3 linked regions of the Oreochromis niloticus genome follow. The protein of the gene in region 3 purifies or fractionates together with the protein of the main gene of each other region. This does not show direct contact. Links are inferred from orthologs where the notes say so. Each region holds a gene or a part of one and is shown on either strand. Other genes may lie near its edges.

Region 1 (8,617 bases), on a different chromosome or scaffold from region 3:
ATGTGTGTGTGTGTTTTTTTAAGATTTCATGAGAAGGGAATGCTAGTTTTTAAATATGGAAAATAAAAGATGAACGCTGCAAGTTGAAGACTGCAATTGCAAGAGCAGTGCTGTGAAACAACACAATACACATGGATGTCATATGTGTGTCACGGCTGAGTACACAGAGCTATTAATTACAGATATGTATCCAGGGACTGCGAGACTTACACCAAACAGGAAGTGATGTAAATTGGGTCACCAGTAATCTATTCTACACGTCTACTGACATGCTTAATAAAATGAAATGACTGGAAATTAGAACACTTTAAAGAGGAACAGGTTGAGGTCATCCCTTTTCCCTGTAGAATACATGACTATCTGAGGAATAGTCTTTAGATTAAATTAGAATTGTGCTCATGCAAAAACAATGCCTAGTTAGAAACAACACTGCTGCCAGAGCGGCTTCTTAAGTGATTGAATTATAGACAGGCAAAAGCCACTGCCACCTGTCAGTGAAGACACAGCACCACAGGTGGCTTTACACACCAACACGGTCACAGTAGCGGCACACGTGTCGTGATCTCGCAGAGACATGCTAAGCTCCACATGAAGAGATCTACTAGGTTGCACACAAAGTCACACAGATCTCAAGTGATTGTGAGTTAATTTTGCATGTGACTCAGTAAAGCCTTTGAAAATAAAGTGTGTAAAATACCATGTGCAGGCAACATGTGAGCAAACTACACTATGGAAACATTTACAGCATGTTAACTGTTCAGGTTATGACCAGGGGGCACAATAACTGGCTCAGTGAGAGGAGAGCTGCAAGCAAGTTGGCAACAAAAGCCAGAGGCCTTTGGCCTGTGGGTGTTAAAATGTAAGCTAGGTCAGTTTTTCAGCATGGCACTCCAGTTATCTTCTCTTTCTCTCAGCACAAGCGTGGTGCTAATTGTACCCGTGAAGCCAGACCATGTGCAGCCAATGTGCAAACGCAAACAAAGTTCCATAACAAGCACTTAATAGCACCTCGGACACAGCAATCCGCTGTTTCTGCTTTCCATTCCCACTCATCCCTCGTTTTTATAAAAGCAGCAAGCGCTGCCCGTTTGTTATTGTTCATTCATATTTTATCAAGCCACTATTTATAACTATGTATGTTTGAGTTAGGGGCAATGTGAGAAGCACAATGACAGAGGAGAGGGAAATTTTATGGTTTTTTGAGGGTTTTTTTCCTGTGGTTTTGTCAAACTCATGAACTCAAGAGGGGAGTTCATTCTTATTACCAAAAACACTGTAGTTACTTGAGGGATAACCACAAATGAAAAGATGAACTGTCCAAACGCAGAGTTAAAATATGTTTGTATGTTTTCCTAACTTTTCTTAATCCTGGAAAAATCTGATGAGTATGCACAAACTTGCCCAGTATTGCTCTGCCTTTTAATTTTATGCATGCAGATGAGGTGAATAGTACAACGTCTGTCTTTTGCTGTTGGCATCTGAATAACTAGGACCTTCAGGGAACTCAGGTATTGCTCATGGGAATTCCTATGGCACAGAGTCACAAGCTCACATTCGTTTTTTTTTTTTTAGGGGGGGCATTTTACAGCTTTAAACCATTTACCTTTAAGGATGATAGTCCACTTCTCTAGCCTATAGGCAGATATATTGTTTTTAAGGTCATTATATACACACACTAATAACACACTATACAAAGTAAAGATAAAATATACAAACGCAAGTTTGGCTGCAGATAGACAACTACAAATTTTCATCCTAACACTTGTTATTTATCAATACTCATGTTTTAATCATTGTTAATGAAAATACAACTTTACTCCATACATATATACATAGACACAGATACACCACACAACTGATTGACTGTGTGAGTGTGTGTGTGTGTGTGTAACTGGTCCTAGCTCAAAATGCTAATTTGTGTGTGTGCCATAGGTATGGAGGCATTGGTACTACAGATCACAACGCATGATCCATTCAGGAACTTCATCTCAGTGTGACTTAGTTGTGTTGTGTGCCTAAGTTCAAAGGTCAAACTGATCATTGTGTCTCATTGTGCAAATTATTTTATGAATACGTATTACAGCAATCAAACTACTGTTTTAGGGAGAATTGTCTTAAGTAAGGGCAGTTAAGGAATGCTTACTCACTTATTATTTTGAATGCAGCAATTGCAAAGGGAAATCACAGCTGGTTAGCACTGTTATCATTTTTTTAACCACAACAACACACCCACAGATCACTTGAGTTGTCTCTGTGGAGTACGAAAAATCAGATAAGTGTCTCCTTACAAACTAACGTGTATTTGCACATCCTAGTAAAATGCCAAAAATCTTAAAATAACGTGTGACAGAAAGCGTGAGTTCCATGTGTACCTGCATGAAATAATATGGAAAGACAAGATAGCCACACCTAAACTGTTTGCCTACCTTTTTATTTGCACGATAGCTTGCTTGCTATTCCGGGAAGACATAAAAGTCTATTATCTAATCTTGTGGTGTGTATCTGTATTGACTGTATCGACCTTAGAAGCCCAGGAGGCATATATTTTTATATATCTTTATATATATATCTATATCTATAGATTTTTTTTTTTTTTAACACAAAAATGTTTTATGTTTAAAAGAGTATTGGTGGCTTCTTTCAACTGGAGGTCAAACAGCTCCCACATTATCATCTACTGTCTAGTAATAACGCATCCTGGTCAACTGTAATGCTAGCTTATTAGCATTTTGTCATCCTCTAACTGACCGATAGCAGGGCATGTGTACATCCGCGAAGCGACACCGGAGGAGCTCCGGTCAAATCCTTCCAGGCCCTTTCTTGGCGTTACAGCTACATAAACCCGGGTTTAATGATGAATACGTTTACCCTGAGTTCGTCTCTCTCAGCCTCCCAGCGGTATTTCTCGGCCTGGAAGCGTCCCCACTCGTACTGGATGAAGTGCAGGATCCCAGGAAGCGTCATCCCCGACTCCCCGTCTTGCGGCTCCCGTGACTGCTGCAACGGTCCAGAGACGGCCCCAGCGGCTGCTGCTGCGGCCGCTGCCATTGCCCCGGTCCCACCAGCTGATGTCGCCTGGCCCGGTCCTGCTTTAGGCCCGTTTGGGTTGCGCCCCGCTCCACTGCTGCCGCCGCCGCCGCCGCCTCCGGAGTTCGGGTTAGATCCTCCGCCGGTTCTGTCCGCCTCCATTTTAACTATTCAACCTTTCGCCAGGATAATGAGATGGGAACGGACAGAATGGACGAATAAAAATATAAAAAAGTACCCCGTGCCCTTTTCCAAACCCAGCTCCACTTCACTATAAGCTACCCTCCTTTCTTCCTTTCTCACACGCACAGAGAAAAATTACTATTCTGTTGGTAAAATAATACACTTCCGCTTCCAAACCTTCAGCGCAAAACACAATCTAACCGCAGTGTAACATCGTTGCCCCGTTGATTTTGTAACAAATCCCTTTTCACAAAAAGTGTTACGTCCAGTCTTAAAACTAACATCAAAATAAAGTAACAACAGACAGCGTTTATTAAATGTGATGCACCTGAAAATAAGCGTAAACTTTTTTTTCCTTTTTTTTTTGTTGCTCTTATTTTGTATATCCCGGATCCCAGATCAGTTTCCTCCTCGTGAAATGCCCAGTGCGGGTGACAAATAAAGGGCCATGTTTTCTATAATAGACAATGAATATGTCGCTAGGGGAATGAATTTCCTGCCATTTTGTGAGCAGGAATGGTTTCGGGAACGATAAAGTTAGCTACAATAATCAACAATGCTATTTCCGGTCGAGATTTTATCTTTGATTTTTTTGGGGGTGGGTGCGGGGGAATAAATTGTGAAATGAAAACAGCCATAGACCAAAAACAACAATAAAAAAGCCTTGGGGACACATTTGTAATATATAACAAGTTAACGTGAATTATAATTTTTCTTCATATCATCTTTATATTTATATTTTTTATATTGCTTATATCCTTATAACGTATGCAATAACATTTGTAGTTATATCTTATATTTTATATTATAGCAATATGTTTTTCTTCTTTTAAAACGTAAGAGATTAGGTATAGACGCCAGGTAACTGGGATAACTCTGAAGCGGTTATTGCGTAAAATATGTGCCTTTCATTAAATAGCTAAATTCATAGATTTTTCCAAATTTGGACAGAATAGCTTTATTCTGAAGGATTCCAACCGGAAGTTGTCCTGTTGCTGCGGGCAACAGCGTGATAGCTTCATGCTAAATTCGTGCAGCTGGGTTTCTTGTTTGGGATTGTGTTAAGCCTTGCGCTTTTGAAATATTCTTTTGACCATTAAGTGTGAGTTTCTTCCAAAAATATTGGAGACTATTTCTTCCACAGCCGTACAAATATGAGCTAAACTCAAGTTAATATCTGTGTTTGCCGCTGCCGATTCAACCTCGGTAGCTACTACGCTACCAGCTCCAAAAGATCATCATGAAATCCACATATAGCGAGCATAACGGGCATAATTGGCTTAACGTTGGTAAAGCCTCTGTTAACTTCTGAATGATATGATGGCCCTGCAAACGATTGTCTCATATGAAATAAAACAGATGCATTCAGATGAAGGTGAGTTGCTACTATCCTATTTTCATTCATTTCTAATGCAACTAGACATATTTTATTTATAAAAGAAAACCTGTCATGGGGCAGTCATGTCCTAATTCCACAAGAATGTGATTATGGCTTGGGTCATTCACTGACTACTTTGTTTAAATTAAATATCCTGTGTGCGAATTTTGATATACATATGCAGATCAATACATTATATTTACACGTAAGCCTGTGGTATTGGAACCAAAACGCAACATTTTTCTGTCATTTACAGGTTGCATGCGACTCTCTGTTACACTGATGGGGGTCCGAGACCAGCCACTGGATTTCTTGATTCAAACTTAAGTTATTCTCCTGAAATAAACTGCAAAGCAAATATTAGTTGCCATGCGGATCAGTTTCTGTCAAGGCTTGTTAACTGTCGCCATCATCCTCAACCTCCTCATTCTCTATTATGTGTCCCGAGCCCAGCAGCAAATGATGGAGAAGAGGAAAGAACTTGGCAGGGGCACAAGAAGGGCTGCCCTACCAGCCTCTGGTCTCGGGGGGTTACTTGCAGGAGCTGGAGGTGAGCCTGGAGTGGTTGGAGTGGAGGGACACAGTCGAGGCCCACGTGTAACTGTTCTTCTTCGGGAATTTGAACATTTTGAAAACTATGTCGGGGATGTTGCTAATTCCTTCCTTCACCAGAGGCCAGAGCTTCCCTTCCTGGCTGTAGCTGACACATCACCGTACCCTCCACTGGCGCTTCCGGAGGGTGCTCGGCTTCTTGTGCTGTCCCCCAGCCCAGACCAACCACCACAAGCTCACAGGCCTGAGTTTCATGTGCAAACAGAGTTTGTGCTGCTAGTGCCTGATGGAGTGGAGCTGGAGCAACCAAGGGCTATTGAGAGGTTAATCAGAGAGTTGGAAGGAGAGGGTGGAGGGCCTGTGAGGTTAGTAGCTGCGCCCGTATTGGCTCGATCTGCTGTGCAGTGTCTCCACTTGCGGGTGAACCTCAGAGAGTGGACAGCTATCTATTCAACAGCTGCATCAGGGAGCAGTGGGAGTGTATGTACAGCTTTACAGGGAGATGCAGTCGTACTCATTCGGACCGAGGATCTTTTTAACCTCTCTGTCCCTCTTGGACGGCCTCTCTTCTCCTCACTCTTCATCCAGACTTCTTTGAGAGGCTGGAAGGTCAAACTCCTGGAAGGCCCCTGTTTCTCTGCAAACCATCGGCCTCTCTTCAGCTCTGCTCACAACCAGTGGAAGGCTGACACTCGACTGAAGGAGGCCACGGGGAATCTAATGAGGAGCTTTGGTCTGAAGCGTCTTCTGCTGCCTGATGGGAGGGAACAGTGGTACGGCTGCAGCAAAGAGACACCACGCTGCTTTGGCACTGTGCAGGATGACACTCCAGACTATCTGTATCTGGACCGCTGGACACCTCCCTGCTGTCTGCGAGCACTCAGGGAAACCACCAAGTATGTTATCAATATCTTGGAGAGCTCAGGTGTGCGCTACTGGCTAGAGGGAGGTACTCTGTTGGGCGCCGTTCGCCATCAAGATATCATCCCATGGGACTATGATGTAGACCTTGGTATCTACCTGGAGGATGTACCCAACTGCGATCATTTAAAGAACCTGGACTCAGGCTCTCTGGTGGATGCTAATGGCTATGTGTGGGAGCGTGCGGTGGAAGGAGACTTCTACAGGGTCCAGTACAGTGAGGCTAACCACCTGCACGTTGACCTTTGGCCGTTCTATCCACGTAATGGCGTCATGACCAAAGATACGTGGACTGAACATAAACAAGATGTGGAGTTCCCAGAACACTTCCTGCAGCCACTGGTACCCATGCCTTTTGCTGGCATCACTGCCTATGGCCCTAACAACCACAGAGCCTTTTTGGAACTTAAATTTGGAGAGGGGGTGATTGAGAACCCCCAGTATCCCAACCCTGCAAAAAAGAGACTGGACAGAAGCAAATTATGAGTCATACCGGAGGGCTACAGACCCATTTAGGTTTACCTACATACAAAGAAAATCTTGCCTCAAATAATTTTCTGTGAAAGATATTGTCTGGAAAGTAAAGCCATTTTCACACATGCACTGCAGCCCTGAATGCTTTGAGACATTACCAAACTGAGATTCACGTGAGAGCACAAATGTCCGACACAGTCTTATCTGACCGTAAATGGTCGAGCACCTCGTGTCTGTGTGACATCCACATCTAATCGTCTCAACATTTTCTGGAGTTCATGTGTGAAAAAAGGTTTAATACGGTGCCAAAACGACTGCATTTACTGTTACCTTCACCACATGTGTATCAGAAGACGGTGTATTGCATGCTTAGATTGTTCTTCCTGTGGTTCGGATGTAAAGTCTAATGTTGAACACACGTTATTTATTTGCCTGAGCGGTAGCGTTTTGTTTGAAAGACACACTTGAAAAGTTTAAATCCATACACTAGTGTACTGACATAAGGCTGTGGTGTGTATGTGTTGTACAGAAACATTGAACTACTACTGCTGTAATTTAAAAAAAAAAAGGTAGATAATTGAAAAAAACGATTTTTTAAAATTAAAATGTATTTTATCTTAAGCAGGATTTAAGGTATTATACAGACTTGTGTGTGTTAAGTAAGTGGCTTTAGCCTAACAGGTATTTTCTGATTTTTGAACTCTGTTGCCTTGTTTTGCACGTCTCAGTTTATGAGTGAATGTTAGTTTGTGGTAGAGCCAGCTGGTAACTGCAGCTGAGCAGACTTCCATCTAATGAAATGAGAAGCACACCTGTGTCATTCATGCTGTTATGGACGATTGCTCTACCAGGCCTTAGAATTCAAATAAATAATTACATATTAATAAATACTATGAAAAGGAAATTTAATTCAGTATACTACTCAGTTCCCCTGGTTGCCACATGATTTCTGTAGTTTTTCCTGTATCTAATGTATTAGGGTGTCAAATCATTTCAAGTACTTCTACAATAAAAGAATAACAGTTTCATGTATTTTGTAAATAGCAGTTGCCACTAGATGGCGCAACACACCAAATTAACACCAAGTGCTGTGTTGACCAAAGGGTGGAGTGTTTCACTAGAGGCAGGAATGCAACTCTACAGGAACACGGCTCACATGTTCATCACAAACCCAACGTGTGACGCAAACTAGCATTACAATCAAGCCTCTCCCATGTTGTTGCTCTACATATTGTATCCCTAGAGGTGTGTTTACATAGTTTTGTTGCTTCTAGTATTCATATATGGCCTGGTTAATGTAGGCTTATGTATCAGTGAGAGGCTGCATTATTTTACAATCTCTAAACATAAAGACAAAGTATTTTGTGTCTTTATTGATTTGTATTACTGTGTGCTTCTGACTAGTCTCTGCAGTAAGAGTTAAAAACAGGGTTTATTGTCAACAAAAAGCCACATCCTCTTATTTATATATATAAAAAACATTTATTGCTGAAAGGTTGCTGACAGTACATTCAGACAATAAGTTATTTTACAATCGTAGCCCACTTTAAACAAACAAACAAAGCCAGACAGCCACATAATGGAAGAGTTCAGGAAGTAATCTTGCACCACAAAAGGAACAAGCAAGGAAAAAAAAAAAAAAAAAATTTCTCATGACATACGAAATGCTAAGACCTCAAGCTTGCAGTTAAATGATTGTCTTTTTAAATTCTGTAAAGCTAACGAAAAGGCTGACAAGGAAAGCGGGCTTAAAAAAAATATCTGGTTTTGGATTTAACAGTATTTGCCCTACTCAGGTCTATATAAGATAGTGATTAACAGTTGATATGGATGGAAAAATATAATATTGTGCTATATTACTTTCATTAATTTAAAAACCGTATCTGGGTACTTCAATAGCCAGGCGTTTATTAGGGAAGGGGGTCAGTTCCAGGCCAGCCGGACTTGTATTTGCTCTCTTCGATACATCGCCACACCAGACAGTATCTCTTTAACATCAATGATCTAACGACTTGTCTCCAGAGCCTTAAGTCTTCCCCACTGATATAAACATTTTTTAAAAGAAGTAGTAAAAAAATACAT
Region 2 (8,217 bases), on a different chromosome or scaffold from region 3:
CGGCTGCAAGAATGGAGTGCATGAACTGACAGATACACATCTTCTGTGTGTGCGCCCATTTCTTTCTTATTAAAGGATGTCTTTGTTTTTCAGATGAATATGTTGCGAGTCTGCATCTGGCCACGTTTGATGCCCACCTGACAGAGCTTAGTGACGAGCAGGCAAAATACCTGGGTCTGAATAAGAATGGCCCTTTTAAACCCAATTACTACAGGTACACTTTTGCACATATTAAAATTTTGAAATGGGGAAATATTTTGAAACTTTTATTAACTTATTGTTATTGCACTAGGTTGTTTGCCAACACATAAACATTTTTTAAGAATTGTGTTTCATTCACATTATCTGTTTTTGTTGTTGTTGTTGTTCACAGGTATTAGTCTGTCACCTGAGAACAACAGCATGTGGACGGTTCCTGATTAGTACCCGACTTCCAGGCAAAATAATGATTTGTGTATTGTATTTTTTACCCTTCATGGGATGCATAGCTCATTTACTTGTATTTTAGTGACTGTAGAAAGTTTTGCTGCTTTACCAATGGCACCCAAGCTGGCTATGAAAAGTGAGGTGTAAGCACTCTGCTTATGTGAGATAACACATGCAAAAAAAGGAAAATATATGATTTTTTTTTTTTATTGCATGTGTTTCCATTCTGAAAGCTGTTGAGTATATCAGCATATTGTGCCAAATGACTGTGAGAGGAGGGTTGTGGTTGTTCAGAAATATTAGTTGTTAAACATGTTAAACCCACACGGAGCACTATTTTTGTATAATCATTCCCTCCATGTACTGCAAAACAGTCACTTAAAATGCCAAACCCAGGAATCTCAGGAGCTTACTGTGCTTTTTATGCACTTTTAGCTCCTTGTTTTGGCATTCTCATCAATATTGTGCTTAAAACTGTTTGCAGTCTTTTCCTTAAAAAACAGATAAGCCAACAATTGCAAAAAAAATGTGACATGATTTAAACTCCTGGTTGTTTTTGTTTTTTTTCTATCTCAGGAGTAGGTGGACCAAATCGGAGTTGAAAGGCCAGTCAATATGAGACTTATTGTTACTTTTAAACTAGCCAGTGATTTGGCATTAATCAGATGTCAAATCAGTTTTTCCTGTGTATCTGCTGAGTAGGCAATCGTTTGCTTACAGATGAGCCATAATAACCTGATGAGCTGACTGTAAATCAAAGTTTTGTTCCTCTGAGTATTTTTACTGTCCAGCGGTCAGAAATTGCTCTGTGCTGCTTTAAACGTTTCTTCCTGCTTTGATATTAAAGCACTTAATCACCTTATACATTCCATACACAAGATACACTCCTGTTGTAGTATCCTCACAATTAGTGCTAACCTTCACTGGGCCTAACAGAAACATAAGCGCTTGTTGAGCAGAGTAAATGTAAGAGCTTGTCATATTTTTTTCTTGAAAAAGAACTTGTCCATTTATGAGGTTTTGGTGTTTGGTGAGAGTTATATCTGTACCTCAGGGCATTCAAATATCTCTAATTATTTGTAAATATATGTCAACGCATCTGCACTATCTAATCTTAGTATTCATGCGTAATCAGTTGGTTTTGAATTGAATATTTACAGCATGTCTGTAAATTGGAGGGATATAATCATGTCTGTGATCCATGTCATTTGTCAGGTTTAGCTGTTCAGAGTAAATTGAATTTGGCGGTTATGTTACATACAGCACATTTATACTGTACATACAGCAGCCTCTGATGAGCTGCTCTCGTAATGCCGTGTCTTGTTAGATTTGTCTCAGGACTCTGTTAAAGAATGCTAACAACAGAAAAGTAACTGTCGTTTCCTAAATGCTCTGGGACTAGACACGGATGAGCTTTGTTGTATTAGCTTTACCTCCTGTTATCTTGTGGTATTATAGTTATTCTAATCCAACACAGTATGTGTGTTTCCAGAAGATTATGATCATTTTAAAGGCTTACGCACTGTGAGGCGTAAATGTTTGTGAGGCTTGTTAAATGCAAATTCACATTTACTCTGTTATATTCACATGTGATATTTTTTTAAACAGTGGGCACTTTGGATGACTGAGTTGAGCGACTCATTTTATGTCTAAACTAGGTATTACACAGATAGTTGTATCTTGTTGAACTTGCAGCTCTTCAACACATTTCATTGTGCTGTACGAGAGGATGGTCGCTAGTCATTAATTCTTTACAGTTGACAGCACTGCTGTTCCTCTCAAGTGTTTGACACCTTGTTACCATTTTAAAGTAACGCTCCACATGACTGAGGATCCTGTTTCATCACCGCACTAAGCATAAACCTGAATTTATAGAAACTGCGTATTTCATTTGTGCAGTAATTTTCAATTTTAAATGAGCAGGCTGCCCCCCCCCACCTCCCAGTTACTCCTGTTGTTTATTGAATAGTAGCCTACAGTGTGCTACTGCAAAGTGCTTTTCATCTTTGCACTAACAGCTTTAAGGGCATTACAGCCAAGGAGGACATCATTTTCAGTAAAAGGAGTGCTGCAACCATGGTTACTGATCAGTTGACAGTGCCTTGTAACTCACTTAGTAATTTATATTCACATGGACCATCTGTGCGTTTTCCTTTTTATCCATGTTGATGCCCGTCACAGTTATTACCCTGCAATATACAGTTATAGCTATGCAGCAAAGAATCCTCAGCCTTTCTTCTGGAAAAGTCAGTGTTTCACAAATTCCATAAAAAGTTATGCTAATAATTACTGTAAACAGTTTGAATAAGCAGCATTTTACATTCTGATATTTACCTTTTACATTTATTGTGATGGGTTTTTTAATCTCTATGTTCTTGTAATAATGGTACATTTACTTTCATAATGGCACTCGGAAAATGCTTCGCTTTATAACTAATAGTGACAGTCACTTTAACCTAGTTGTTCCTCTGTTATAGAGACAAATGAATGTTATATTACTGGCACAAACAGCTTGACTTTTGTTAAATTGAAGTTAATCAGCATACCACTGTGATTTGGAAGCTGTACATTGTTACATTTGAATACAAGGTTGTCTACATTATATAGTACCTATAATGTTTGCTTATTTTTCAACTTTGTTTCTAGTTTGTTTCATAATGTCAACTGAATACAGCTTGTTAAATTTCTCTTCACTTTCTCCTTTAATAAACTCCAGTTTAAATTTGAAAATGGCTCAGAAACATCATTTTCCTGCAGACAGACAATAAGCTTTACACAATTTGATTGAGTTTAATGTATATAGCACCAAATCACAACAACAGTTGTCTCAAGGCACTTTATATTGTAAGGTAATGACCCTACAAAGAAAACAGAAAACACCAAAAATCATATGACCGCCTAGGAGCAAGCGCTTTGGTAACAGTGGGAAGGAAAACTGTCTTTTAATAGGAAGAAACCTCCAGTAGAACCAGGCTTGGGGGGGGGGAAGGGGAAGGGGAACCATCTGCTGCAACTGTTTGGGGATGAGGGGAGGAAGACGAGACAAAAACATGCTGTGGAGAGCCAGAAATGAATACTAACTAATAATTAAATGCAGAGAGGCATATAAACAGATAGTGAGTGTTTATTCGCTCACTAAGGCCACAGGCAAAAATATGTGGGTAACAGTGACAGTGAGCCAAATGGAACAATAATTTTCTTTATTCTGATTGAAATGAACACACAATTTTATTTAGGCATATGTCCCTAACTGGGGTGACTGTATGCCAGGTGGAAGAGCAGGTCATTTCTAATTGCAAGGTTGGTCCAGTCTGCATACCAAACATCCCTGAGCAAGATACTAAGTCCAAGTTGCTTCTGATGCATCCATCAAAGTATAAATGTGTGTGCATGTTGGACAGGAAGCACTTACCTAGAAAGAGCATAGGGGGGAAAAAGTGCTTGTATGAATGGGTGAACTAGTTGTGTAAAGTGCTCAGAGTAGAGAAGCGCTGAATAAGAACTAGTCCATTTACCATTTAAAAATAATGTAATTATGATGGTTACAGTTGTGATTAGAAATTTACATCTACTCATCATGGGCATGAATGATGCGGCAATTTGGGGCTTTTAATGATATCCTGTGAACAAGATTGTAGAGCATACATCTTTAATGACTTTACAAAAACAAAAACTGGTTGCACAAGCTTTTATTTATTTGGGATTTTCTCTAATGCACACAGGGTCAAAATATTATCGTCCCTTAGTAAATTGCACTTCGACCAGATGCTTTCGGTAGACATAAACAAGCTTTTGACATAATTCTGGCCGAATATTAGGCCACTCTTGGCAGAAATGTAGACTTCATTTAAATTGGTTGGTTTCCTGGCTCTTAAGTCAACAAGAGCCAGGAAACAGGACTTAGCTCGGGGCTTTGGGAAGTCCCTTCCAGTAGCTAAAAAACCCCTCCCAAATAAATAATTTAAAACAAAAAAATTACCATCACATGCATGCACCATGATAAGTGAATGCAAACCTCTGACCACACCTTCATCCATAATTTAAAAAAAAAAAATGCTATTTATATATTTTCTTTAATTAAAAATGTTTTGGAGAATTTTAATCATCTTTAGATATTTATCCATCACGTAGAAGAGAAGTTTCTGAGTAGTCCCGCATTAATTCTACAGTACGACAGATCCTGTGAACTTTCTTCATCCAGAATGATACCTGCAGCAGGCTCTGCTCCGACTTCTGATCTCATCATCATGGCGTCAGTTCGGGATTACATGAAGAGGCAGAGAGAAATTCATTTCACACAAATTCTCCACAACCACACCTCGGGTCGCTGCTGCGGACCTTCGGACAAGATGCTGCGGATGCGCTGACGGGAGTTCGACTGTCGCGTTCCATTTCGCATCTCGCGAGAGTTCACTGGGCCCCAAAAAATTATGGACGTCGGTGGAAACGGTAGTGGGCTGCCTGTAAACAATAAGCAGAGAGCTATGTTACCTAACAAAACCAGGGGCGAATTTACCCGCAATCAAAGAAAAGATTCAGAGGTACGTATCCAGATGCTTATGGTTGATTTCCAGCGTGTATTTTTTTAGCTAAAGAGACGAGGCCTTTCCTGCTGCTAGTGTAAAGTTAGCTAGCTCTGTCATTGTAGCCCAGTTAGTGTTTCTAACATGATTCGGGAGTTAAGAGCAGCAAACGACCTTCATTACGGTGTTTGTACGTGTACTTAGCTGTACGGTGTTCCGTTTGTTTTCCAGTGTTAACACATTGAAAAGCGAGCAGGAGACAGCTAGCTGACGTTAGCCGGCTACAGGCCAGGCTTGTGTATGTGTCAGGAATCTAAGGACCTGTTGAAAACTGATTGTTTAGGTCCTGCTTAACACATTTAATCTTTCTAATGCGACAGTCGGCTATGACAGTGTAATTTTACTGTATATATGCAAATTGGTCACTCATCTGTGTGACGTTTAAAGAAAACAAGCTGAGTGTTTCCGTGTAGTGGTTTAAATAGCCACTGGAGACAGTCATGGCAGCACTGCTTCCCTGTCTGTCTTGAAGAGGTGTATTATTTCCAGTCTTTTCTTGAAAGTAGGCTCACAGTGGCAATAGTAAATCCTCTTGTGTTTAGTTAGAATAGAATAGAATAATCCTTTAATTGTCCCACAAGGGGAAATTTGGTTGTATCAGCAGCAAAAAAACACACATATACAAAAAGAACAGGACACAGAACAGAAAACAAAAAACAAAAAACACAATTTTTACATATTTACATCATGGACAATAGTTACCAGAGCAGAGTACAGTACAGTTGTTAAAATTAGCGTACAGATAGTGTGCAAACAGAGCAGGATACTGAAAGATGTTTAAATAGTTAAGAATATTTAGAATAATTAGAAAAGTGCAGATTGTGTATTGTACCTGTGCATTAAAAAGTAGACATGTAACTTCCAATAAGTTAGTGTATATATAAGCTGAGAAAAGTAATGTGCAGTTATAACAGTAGAAGTTGTTACAGCACTGATGTAAACATCTATGTTTGTTGGGAGCAGTTTTGATTGTACAGTCTGACAGCTGCAGGGAGGAAGGACCTGCGGAAACGCTCCTTCATGCATCTAGGATGCAGCAGTCTGTCACTGAAGGAGCTCTGCAGTAATGCTTCATGATGGCAGCCTCAGTGTGTTACTGTTGCTTTCAGTGTTGCAGCTGGTACACATAATATTGTTTATTGATTCATAAACTTTATATTACAAATCAGAAACTACATTAACTTGTCTGAAATGTAAATTATAGAATAAAAGATTATAGAGTTGTCAGTAATAGATACTCAAGTACAAGTTTATTACTACTACTATTGGTACAGCTTTATAATAAACAGTGCCCAAAGCGGTTTATGTAACCAAAATATAGTGAGGCGTTAAAGTAACTGACATCAGCTGTGCACGGTGTTTATGGAGAACTGAAAATATAATTGACTGAGTGTTCCAGAACTAAGTAACCCAACAAACCAACAGTGTCATGAAGAAACTTTCCAAAGAGAGTAAGCAGACTGAAAGTGGAGGTTTTATAACCTTCACCACTCCCACCACTCAGGTGCACTCAGTCTTAAACAGGACACAGTGCTATTACAGCAGTGTTTGATTGCATCTTATTTGTTACTTTGTGCTCCTGAACTACTTTAACAGTATTGCTTGTTGTTGCCAACCGGATGTTTTTATACCTTATACTGTGCTTTATAGGCATGTATAAGGTGGAGAACATGCCTGATTAAAAAAAAAGATGTTAAAAGATGTAAGCTTTGTTAGAGAGTAGCTGCCAGCACAGAGGAGTGTTTCACCTGTAGCTAAATACTAAAATGTGGGGAAATGCAGCTAAATGCATTGACTCAAGTACTCTACAAAGGAAGATCATAGTGATTATGATGCATTGCTGTAGATAAAACAACCCAACAAAAATGTATTAGCTCAACCAGCGTTATCAGCAGTAAAAAGCCTCAAAAGACATTAATGCGGGAGAAATATTAATCCAACAGTAAAATACTAACGGGGGACATTTTTACTACACACTTGAAGTACAAGTTACTGACTTACATGTGTTAACATAAGTGGGCTTTTAATCCAGAAGGTTTCCTAGTCAAATTTATTTTTTGATATTGTAAATTATCAAAATGCTACTTCCACCACTTTCTCTTAGCAAGAGTCACTTGGACATTTTGGTGCTTTGACTCTTGATGATGTTGCTGTTGTTATGGAGAATTTTGGAAAGGAAATTAAATAGTACTAACTAAATACCACCACTTATTAAATGAGAAAATAGGTTTTTATGTGTTTGTGTGTAGAGTTTGGGTAATGTGACTTCTTAACATCAGTCGGATGTGATTAAATTTGCCTTGGATTTATTCATTAATTCATTTAATTAAATTTTTTTTTTTTTTTTGTATCCAGTACCTCTCTGTCTAACCTCTGCAGTGTGTTGTGCACAGGGGCAGTCTGAGTCTCCAGATCTGGAGTTTGAATATTCGGACACAGATAAGTGGGCTGCAGAGCTGTCAGGTATGTGTGTGTGTGGGTCTGTGTGTGTGTGTCACACTTTAAGAACCTGTAACCACCTAAAAATGTGTGTATATTATTTATGAACTCTTCATGTGTGTTGCAGAGCTTTACAGTTATACTGAAGGACCAGAGTTCGCTCTTAATAGGAAGTGCTTTGAAGAGGAATTCAGAGTTCATGGTAAGCACTTAGAATATACATACACGTCAGCCATACAAATAAAAGATGAAGCAAGTATGCATCTTAGTTTATTTTCTTCACCTCTGCTGTGGCTTAGTGTCTGATAAGAAGTGGACAGAGCTCGATGAAGCTCAGCACAGAGCTCACGCTATGCGCCTGTTGGACAGTCTTGAAGTCACTGCCCGGGAGAAAAGGCTGAAGGTTGCCAGAGCCATTCTCTACATGGCTCAGGGTCAGTCCATCACACGTTTCCACGATTTCAAGTAAACTAGAAAATAGTTTGTCTTCATGTACTGTCTTCTTTTTTTTCTGTTTTTAGGGACCTTTGCTGAGTGCAGCTCTGAGGTGGAGGTGCAGCACTGGATGAGATACAATATATTTCTGCTGCTCGATGTGGGGACCTTCTCTGCTCTGGTGGAACTGCTCAACATGGAGATTGAGTATGCTCTCCGTCAATTTATTAGCCTTGCAGAAGTAAATGGCAGTTAAAAAAAAACAACAAAGAAGCCATTTTTTCCTACCCCATAGCTTTCTGGAAGCATTTATTGAGGTGCCATAGATCAGTCA
Region 3 (7,435 bases):
TGGAAGATGAAGAGAGGGTCCCATCCATAATGGGAGGGGAGGAATACCAGGCAGGACCACTGACACTCGCTCTACGCAAAGAGTGCTTCAGGTCAGGGCAAAAACCTTTTGATGACTTTTTAGCAACTTACAGTTTAAAGTAGTGCTTGCTACCAGGTGTAAATGAGAACAAGAGAGACATATAAGTATAGGGTCTTCTTTTTACCAACAGACAAGCAAAAATATTTGCATGCATGGGAAACCTGTGCAGTTTTGTGATTGCTTAACCATATTGTTTCTGTTATTTGAATACTTTTGGCCTTTTCTCCGCTTTACCAGCGTTCTTGTTGGAGCTGCTTCAGACCCCAGTATCAATATTGATGATCCAATCAGTGATGAGTTCTTCTTCTTGGTTTGGAATGAGACAGCTAAAAAGAATGTCAACATTTATGACAAGGTGTGGATTGAACCAAAACTTTTTTTTTTTACATTTCTAATTGTATCAACATGTATTTTCACTTCTCTCACCACTTTTTGTTCTTCTTGGCTCTCTGGCCCTACTGTACCACAGGTGTTCAGGTGCCTGCCCTGCAACAAAGTCCGTAGCATGCAAGACCTGAAGGACTATTCGAATGTGGCTTGCCTCTGCGAGACAGACCCTAAGCAGGCCAAAGAGGAATTAAAGGCCATCCGAGGACTGCTGGTCCATTTCCCCTTAAAGTTCCTGTGTGAGGAAAACTTGCTGCCTCCACGGAACACTAAAGAAGGCATGGCTCCTTCAGAGCTGTGGACATAAGCAGCAGCTCAGCCAGGTTCAGACCACTACATGACAGTGCAACAAATGCTGTACTGCGGCCATCTTTCTTGTCGTTCTAGTTCACCTAATAGTCAGCACAGGACACAAAAGTAGTTATAGCACCAGCACTTGAATGGTGAGAGGTGGAGGTGGAGTGAGGTAGAGAGGTGTTACCCTCACCAAAATTTATTAATGATCCAGTTATGATTACTTTGTCTTTTTGACTGACAATGGGCTAATGTGACTGACGTAGCCACGGACATGCAAATTTTACAATGATCTGTCTATATTAGGTTGTGCTGACCAATTTGTTTGTGATGTCTGCTTTATAATGTGTTCAGTGCGATCTGATCTGCATGTCTGGCGGCGGTGCAGAGCACAGATAAATGAATGTATGAGTCAGGAGAGGATTGCAAGGTTGTATTAGAAATCAAGCATCTCACATGATCTGGGAACATAGTGTACATTTATTGGTGCACGATTTTTGGGTGGGTGGGTGTCTCTCTCTCTCTCTCTCTCTCTCTCTCTCTCTCTCTCTCTCTCTCTCACTCGCTCCCTCTGAGGCTTCACCTCTCACTGCAGTGCCAGAAAATCTGTCAGAACATTTGTGGTTGTTATGGTGACGGATATAAAGAGATGACTGGATTGTAGCTGAAATAAAGACTGGATAGGGCAGAATAGGGAGAGTGCTGATAAGAGGTACAACTTACTAAATCAGGATGGTGCACTGGGAAAATGGAAGCTAATATTCTGCTAGGGCTGCTGACCATTTCTGGATATATGATCAGGTGGCAAAACTGTGAGAGGGGAAAGAAAAGCAGAACAAGATAATTAAAGGGTGTTAGGTTGATTTCCTCCTAATTGTTGCATTTTTTTTTTAAGTCTCCATGACACCCTAGTGATTTTTTTTTTTTTCACCATGCTGTCGACAGTCCAGAACAGAACATTCCACTGCCCACTTGAGACCACTGAATATCTCAGCTATTTTTATGTTGCGTCCAGCATCTTTCATGTGTACCGTATGTTACATTTGCTCACAGACATAGCGGTTTGTGCAGGTGCACGCTCACTTGAGTTGTGACGTGATGTCGTTTTCACGTTCTCACTGATTGCCATTTTGGGGCATCACAGGGCTATTTTTTTGAAATGTCATTCCCTTGAGCTGTGACCAAGCCGTGACTGCTGTTGGGAAGTCTTTAAATGTGGATACATTTGTAGCATTGCTGGTGAAAATAGACAGGAAACCTTCCCTCTTTTGTGTCATTGCATTGACTGAGATATCATGTAATAATACAGCAGTAAGGTACAGTATGTGCCTTAGAAAAACAGGAATTGGATTCTAAGGGTTGATGGAAAACCAAGGCGAGGGGGAATGTACATTTTTCTGCAACTTTAGATTGTGCATTCAGGCAAAACTGTAACTCTTTTTCAACATTTGAGCGCTGGGCCAAGTTTTAATTACATGCACTTTCATCACAAGTTTTTTACAGGAACAAACAGCAGAAGGGGACATAAAGGCCAGTCTGTAAAACTTGTGAATGGGACTCTGTTTTATATTCCCAGCCTTGTGCTAGTGTTATGACTACTGTGTGTGTGTGTGTGTTCTGGGGGGGGGGTTGAGCCCTGGCACATGTTTCTTTTAAAAAGACCAGATAAAAGATGACCCGGAACAATGCAATGACAGCAAATCACAGTTAAGTGAATAATGCAGACTGTCGTATGAGCTTCTGACACACACCTATGAGTGAACAACATTACCTGGGCGGTTCCACTGCAAAGCTGTCTGTGAATGCGACAGGCGCCCCATGCGACCAAGTCTACATGAAGTGTCTCTCACAGGATTGTTGTTCAATTAAAGCATCTGTGTTTAGAAATATGAATACTTACCTATGTAAGATATTAAAAGACACTAGAAGCCCTTCCATATATGTATTTGCTACCCTCTTTCTTGCGGCCCAAAGTGGTTGTCTTAACTGGTGTTCCTTTTAAGTTCTGCAGAAATGCCTGTAATATACCGAAAAGTGACCTTATACTGTTTCTCTCATGAATTGTATTTTTAAAAGACCAATAATCAGCATTCCCAAACCACTTTTATGAATTTATTACTCATTGAAATGTGTTTGTGTTCGTCCCTGAGAGTCACTGTGTGAAACCTTGTCTCTGTAGATCAATGTCATCACCTTATAATTACCAATGTATAGGGTTACTAACACTCAGGGGTAGAGAGCGATGACGAATATTCTTAGTCTTGTTAGTGCAATTATGAGCAACTTGTATTTTACTCTGTTTTTTTTTTAACATGAACTTGTTTTTTGTGGCTCCGAATATCTACTCTATTTGAAAAATGGACTTTTTTCAGCCTTCTCTTGTATTACTTTTGTAAACGTTAGTGCTTTTTTAAAAAAGTAAAGACTGCATTCAAACTGGATTTAATATTTAAAAAAATAAAATTTTCAAATGTAGTGTATCAGCATGCATTTCTATTCTGTATGAAATCTTAATGCAACTAAAATGACTGTTTAGACGTGTCTATCACATGGCAAGAGAAACAGAAAAGGGGAAATGTTAATTGTTTATATCTAAACTACTTTTGTCACCATGGAAGCAATATCCTTTGTTAGCTGGATATCCTTTAAGCAAATAGTTACTCTGAGAGAGAGAGCATGTGCTTTACACAGGAAAATGGTATTCGTGGCATGAAAGCTTAATGTTCACTAAATGACTAATGCATTGTTCAGGTTATTGCCATACAGTCTGGGGTTTTTTTTCTTTTAATAACAGTCAGGTGCTTATCTAGAAAAGCTTTGGAACTGATTCATGCAGTATTGACAAGCACTATAAAGGTGAGCTTGCTCTAATGGAAAACTGACTATAGCAATCTCCAATCTGCTGGATGACGCACACATAAAACCAAGACGAGGAGAATATTTGTTAGATGTGGCCCTTATTACCAAAATCTGCATTGTTTATTCAGCAGTATTTTAGCCTTAAGCGTGTGTCCAGTGACCCAGAAGGCCAGAGCAGGACAGGTATGCCCAGGAATGATCTCAGCTGTGCAGCTCAAACAAGATAGAGGCAGCTGCGTAGGCTGAAGTCCACTGTAATTTCGGGTAATTTGTCCCTGATGAAGCACCGTAGCCAGTCGAGAAGAGAAAACACTTCAGGAGTGTTGCGTGCAGCCAATCGTCAGTACAAACCCAACAAGACTACATCTAGGCTGCGAGTGGGAGGGAGGAGTGGACTTGGGAAGCAAAACATGGCGAAATAACAAGTTTGGCGGCTATACCGCAGTTAGAAACTGCACCGATTCTGTCAGTGGCGGACTATGACTGCAAGTTCATAAAATCTGGACGCCGGAGATCGACAGCAGCGCTCAACTTTGAAGCGTCGAGTGCTCAGGCTTACAAGTATTACGGTGGCTGGCGACAACACAGTGCCTGCTCGTCTGCCCGTGTTTTCCCCCGGAAGGTTGGCAGTGCTAGGCGCGACTGTCAACACAGAAAATGGATGAAGAAGGAAAGGGAAAGTTTATTCTGGAAAAGACAATTTAGCTCGCTAGCTTAGCTGCGTTAGCCAGCCGGCCAGTTAAACATTAGATTAACCGCACACACCTGACTCGGTATTCGGATTATTTGTGCGCTCTGGACGAAACCCGGGGGGCGAATTTAAGTCGCGTTAACAAGTTTGACAACTGCAGCCGCAGGGAATCGCATTTGAAACGAGGCCCTTTTTTTCCATTTTTTTTTCCTCCCCACGCTCCTAATCTGTGACAAAATCCCGGGAGGTTTAAGGCCAGCGATGAGAGCCTGACGGTCGGTTCTGGTGCGGTGCGGACGGACCCGGGGACGCCATCACATCAGACGTTGCGTTCTCAGTAAAACAATCACTGCGCTGCTAAACCGTAAATAATAAAAAATAGCATACTTTATCAGTGTAAGTAGGAATGTTTCAGTGGTACACAACACCTGTCTGGTAGTTGTTTTTCTTCTCCCCCCTCGGTGACACGCATCGGTGTATCATATGTGAGATTAGCTGGGATGTTGGAGAGCAGGGGAGAAGCGGCGTCTTGTCAAAATGAACGCAGCAAGGTGTTCAACAACAGCGGAGGTGCTCTGCATTTGAAACCTGCCAGTTGTTAGATCGATATCAAATGGGCGGCTAACAGCGACGTTGACAGCCTGTCTAAAAAATCCTACTTTTTAAGTTGCATGCGATTTGATTAGCTGTCGCAGGCGGCATTTCTGTAAAACAAGTGCGAATAACATTTACAGCTTTCGGCCAGAGTTGACGTGAGCTAGCCAGCTGGGTGCGTCTGTCCGCTCTATCTGCGATGCATTTGCTAATCTAAGTGCTACAGCTCCTGCGTGTTGGACCGCCACTTTGCTGTATTTCCTCTGGGTTTAGGCCGTTATAAGCTCGCGTGATCGGCCGCTTAAATCCCCCTTAAGCACTTCTTGTCAAATAAGTGGCTAACTTATTAGCTAGCGTGATAAGTTTCGCCAGCTATGTCTGAAAACGCCCCCACAAGAAGCCTGGATGACATAGACCTCGCAGCTCTGAGGGTGAGTATTGTTATTACCAGATAAGTGAATTGTAAAATGATGGCAGACGGACTCATTAGATGTTATGTCATATGCCAGTTCGCCTCAGACACAAGCACGACCATTGAACACCCACGCGAAAAAAGTTAAGGTGGGATAAACATCAATCGGCCTGCGTTATAGGCAGTACAGTCTGTACACAAATCCTCCAAGTATATGTTGGGATTTCTCCCTTAAAGGACCACCTTACCCAGCCCTGACAATGTTAATTTGTAGGTTGAGGGGGAAGAAAAATAAGCACCAGTATCTATAAAACACTGGGCCACTGTGTGATTACATCATGTAATGGGAAGGCTGGTTTATTTAAACTACATTTTGTCTTCTGGTGGTATTTTCTTATGGAGGTTTATGACTCCATAAGAAAAAGGCACATCTTTCAATAACTGATAACATTCTAATATTGTAATATTGTTGATATAATGTAACATATCAGACTGTTTGTGAAGAAATTAGACCTGGAGTTTGTTCCTTTTGTATTTTAACTGGTGTCCCATTAAAGGTCCCAGTGTGAAAATCCTACATCCAACATTAGAAACTCTTTGAGAGGCAAGAAATCTGTCACGTCCCTTTTCACATTTCTCCCCATCACTATGGAAGCTGTCAAGAACATGCAGTATTTGATGTGGCAGTAAATCCACTTAAGACAGACCAGCTTTATGTGTGTGTGTATATATATATATATATATATATATATATATATATATATATATATATATGAAGAAGTGTTATAATGCATTCACTCAGTGCTTGTTTGAGAAGAATCTGTAATGTCTAATGTTTGACTGACTTTTGAATCCCCTTCTACAGTTAAAGTGATCAAAAGGCTACCCAATAACTCCAATTCAAACTATGTTTAAAATAATACCATTATTTTCTTGACAAAGTAAGAGGGTTTCATAAGATTCCCTCTGAAAAAGATGAGGAATTTCTAGTATTTCAGTGTAGCTCTCACATGGTAATGGGGCTAAACAGATCAGGATATTTTACCCAAATACTGATTGTTTGGGCAGGTTTGTCCTGTTTCCCTGACCTTCTTCTGAGGTTTCACCTAGAAATTTCACCTAAGCCTTCACTAACAACACAGGCAGATGTGACCTAGTTTCTAAAATTTGTAGTAATGATTTAATCTTGCAGTTCATTTAGTAATAATTTATTGTGTATTTAAATAGTGGATCTAGTAATTTAGGTAGCAGTTTGCTTATAAGAACAGTTGGGTAGGTGCAAAAAATGGCCCAGGGTTTGTTGCCCACCACAGCTGAGATGTGGAAATAAATAGTAGTTTGTTTGTGATTCTATCTATGGCTGGGTTTTCCACTGAAGAAAACTGACCGTGTGATGGCTGTGGCTCAGGTGGTAGAGCAGGTTGTCCATTAAATGCAGAGTTGGTTGTTTGATCCCTGGCTACATTTCCTTGGGCAAAACACTGACCCCCAATTGATCTCAATAGCATGACAGCTCTGCTACTATTGATTAATGAGTGAAACAGAACCTGTAAAGATGTGTCTTAGAGAATTTATACTTAATGCTGCACTAGGGAATAGTGATTAAGCAGGTCAATGACTAGTCATTTATTTTTAAGGTTAAGTTACTGGTGTGTTTGAACAGGGTAAACAATATTAATTTACCTAATTTTTTTCACATCTTAGAAGTTGCGCCACCAAAATCTACATGATAAGCCATCAGAATAAATAAGTGTCAAATTGTTTTTGTAGTTTTCTCAAATGACAGTTATATTTTGATATTTTGTTTACTGTCATTGTAACTCATTATCACTCATATATTTTAATTTGTCTAAAAGGGACATTGCACTATTATAAACATGAGCGTGAAACCCATTTAATGTAAATATGCCAGATTTAGCTCTATAGGCTAATTTTCCTCTGCAATCCATGGCAGGTTGATAGCACTGATCAACATTAAAAGAAAATCATCTGTGTGTGGAAAAACAAACAGAGCCATGTAACATACTGAACAGACATTAAGTACCACTTATTGTATAAAACTCAGAACAAAAAACAAAAGTAGATGCATCACAAAAACATAGAAGTATGCGTCAGAT

Evidence for each region. The genes of interacting proteins can lie anywhere in the genome.
Region 1: the proteins of mink1 (region 3) and strn4 purify together in Homo sapiens (affinity purification with mass spectrometry; 3 studies listed by BioGRID and IntAct, with this or other methods). This does not show direct contact. The link is inferred for Oreochromis niloticus from reciprocal best matches to the Homo sapiens genes MINK1 and STRN4.
Region 2: the proteins of mink1 (region 3) and strip1 purify together in Homo sapiens (affinity purification with mass spectrometry; 3 studies listed by BioGRID and IntAct, with this or other methods). This does not show direct contact. The link is inferred for Oreochromis niloticus from reciprocal best matches to the Homo sapiens genes MINK1 and STRIP1.

The regions. Positions count from the first base shown.
Region 1 is NC_031979.2:21,854,021-21,862,637, forward strand, and holds the start of strn4 (striatin-4), read right to left. Parts: upstream 3,538-8,617; 5' UTR 3,190-3,537; coding exon 2,869-3,189; intron 1-2,868. Other genes in the region: ribitol 5-phosphate transferase FKRP, read left to right, coding at 4,958-6,547. UniProt on the Homo sapiens protein: Calmodulin-binding scaffolding protein which is the center of the striatin-interacting phosphatase and kinase (STRIPAK) complexes.
Region 2 is NC_031970.2:21,898,991-21,907,207, forward strand, and holds the start of strip1 (striatin-interacting protein 1 homolog), read left to right. Parts: upstream 1-4,680; 5' UTR 4,681-4,856; coding exon 4,857-4,967; intron 4,968-7,402; coding exon 7,403-7,472; intron 7,473-7,575; coding exon 7,576-7,650; intron 7,651-7,747; coding exon 7,748-7,882; intron 7,883-7,969; coding exon 7,970-8,090; intron 8,091-8,217. Other genes in the region: S-adenosylhomocysteine hydrolase-like protein 1, read left to right, coding at 94-214, 374-380. UniProt on the Homo sapiens protein: Plays a role in the regulation of cell morphology and cytoskeletal organization. Required in the cortical actin filament dynamics and cell shape. Part of the striatin-interacting phosphatase and kinase (STRIPAK) complexes.
Region 3 is NC_031975.2:11,260,896-11,268,330, forward strand, and holds the start of mink1 (misshapen-like kinase 1), read left to right. Parts: upstream 1-3,918; 5' UTR 3,919-5,280; coding exon 5,281-5,337; intron 5,338-7,435. Other genes in the region: pld2 (phospholipase D2), read left to right, coding at 1-91, 319-436, 551-775. UniProt on the Homo sapiens protein: Serine/threonine kinase which acts as a negative regulator of Ras-related Rap2-mediated signal transduction to control neuronal structure and AMPA receptor trafficking.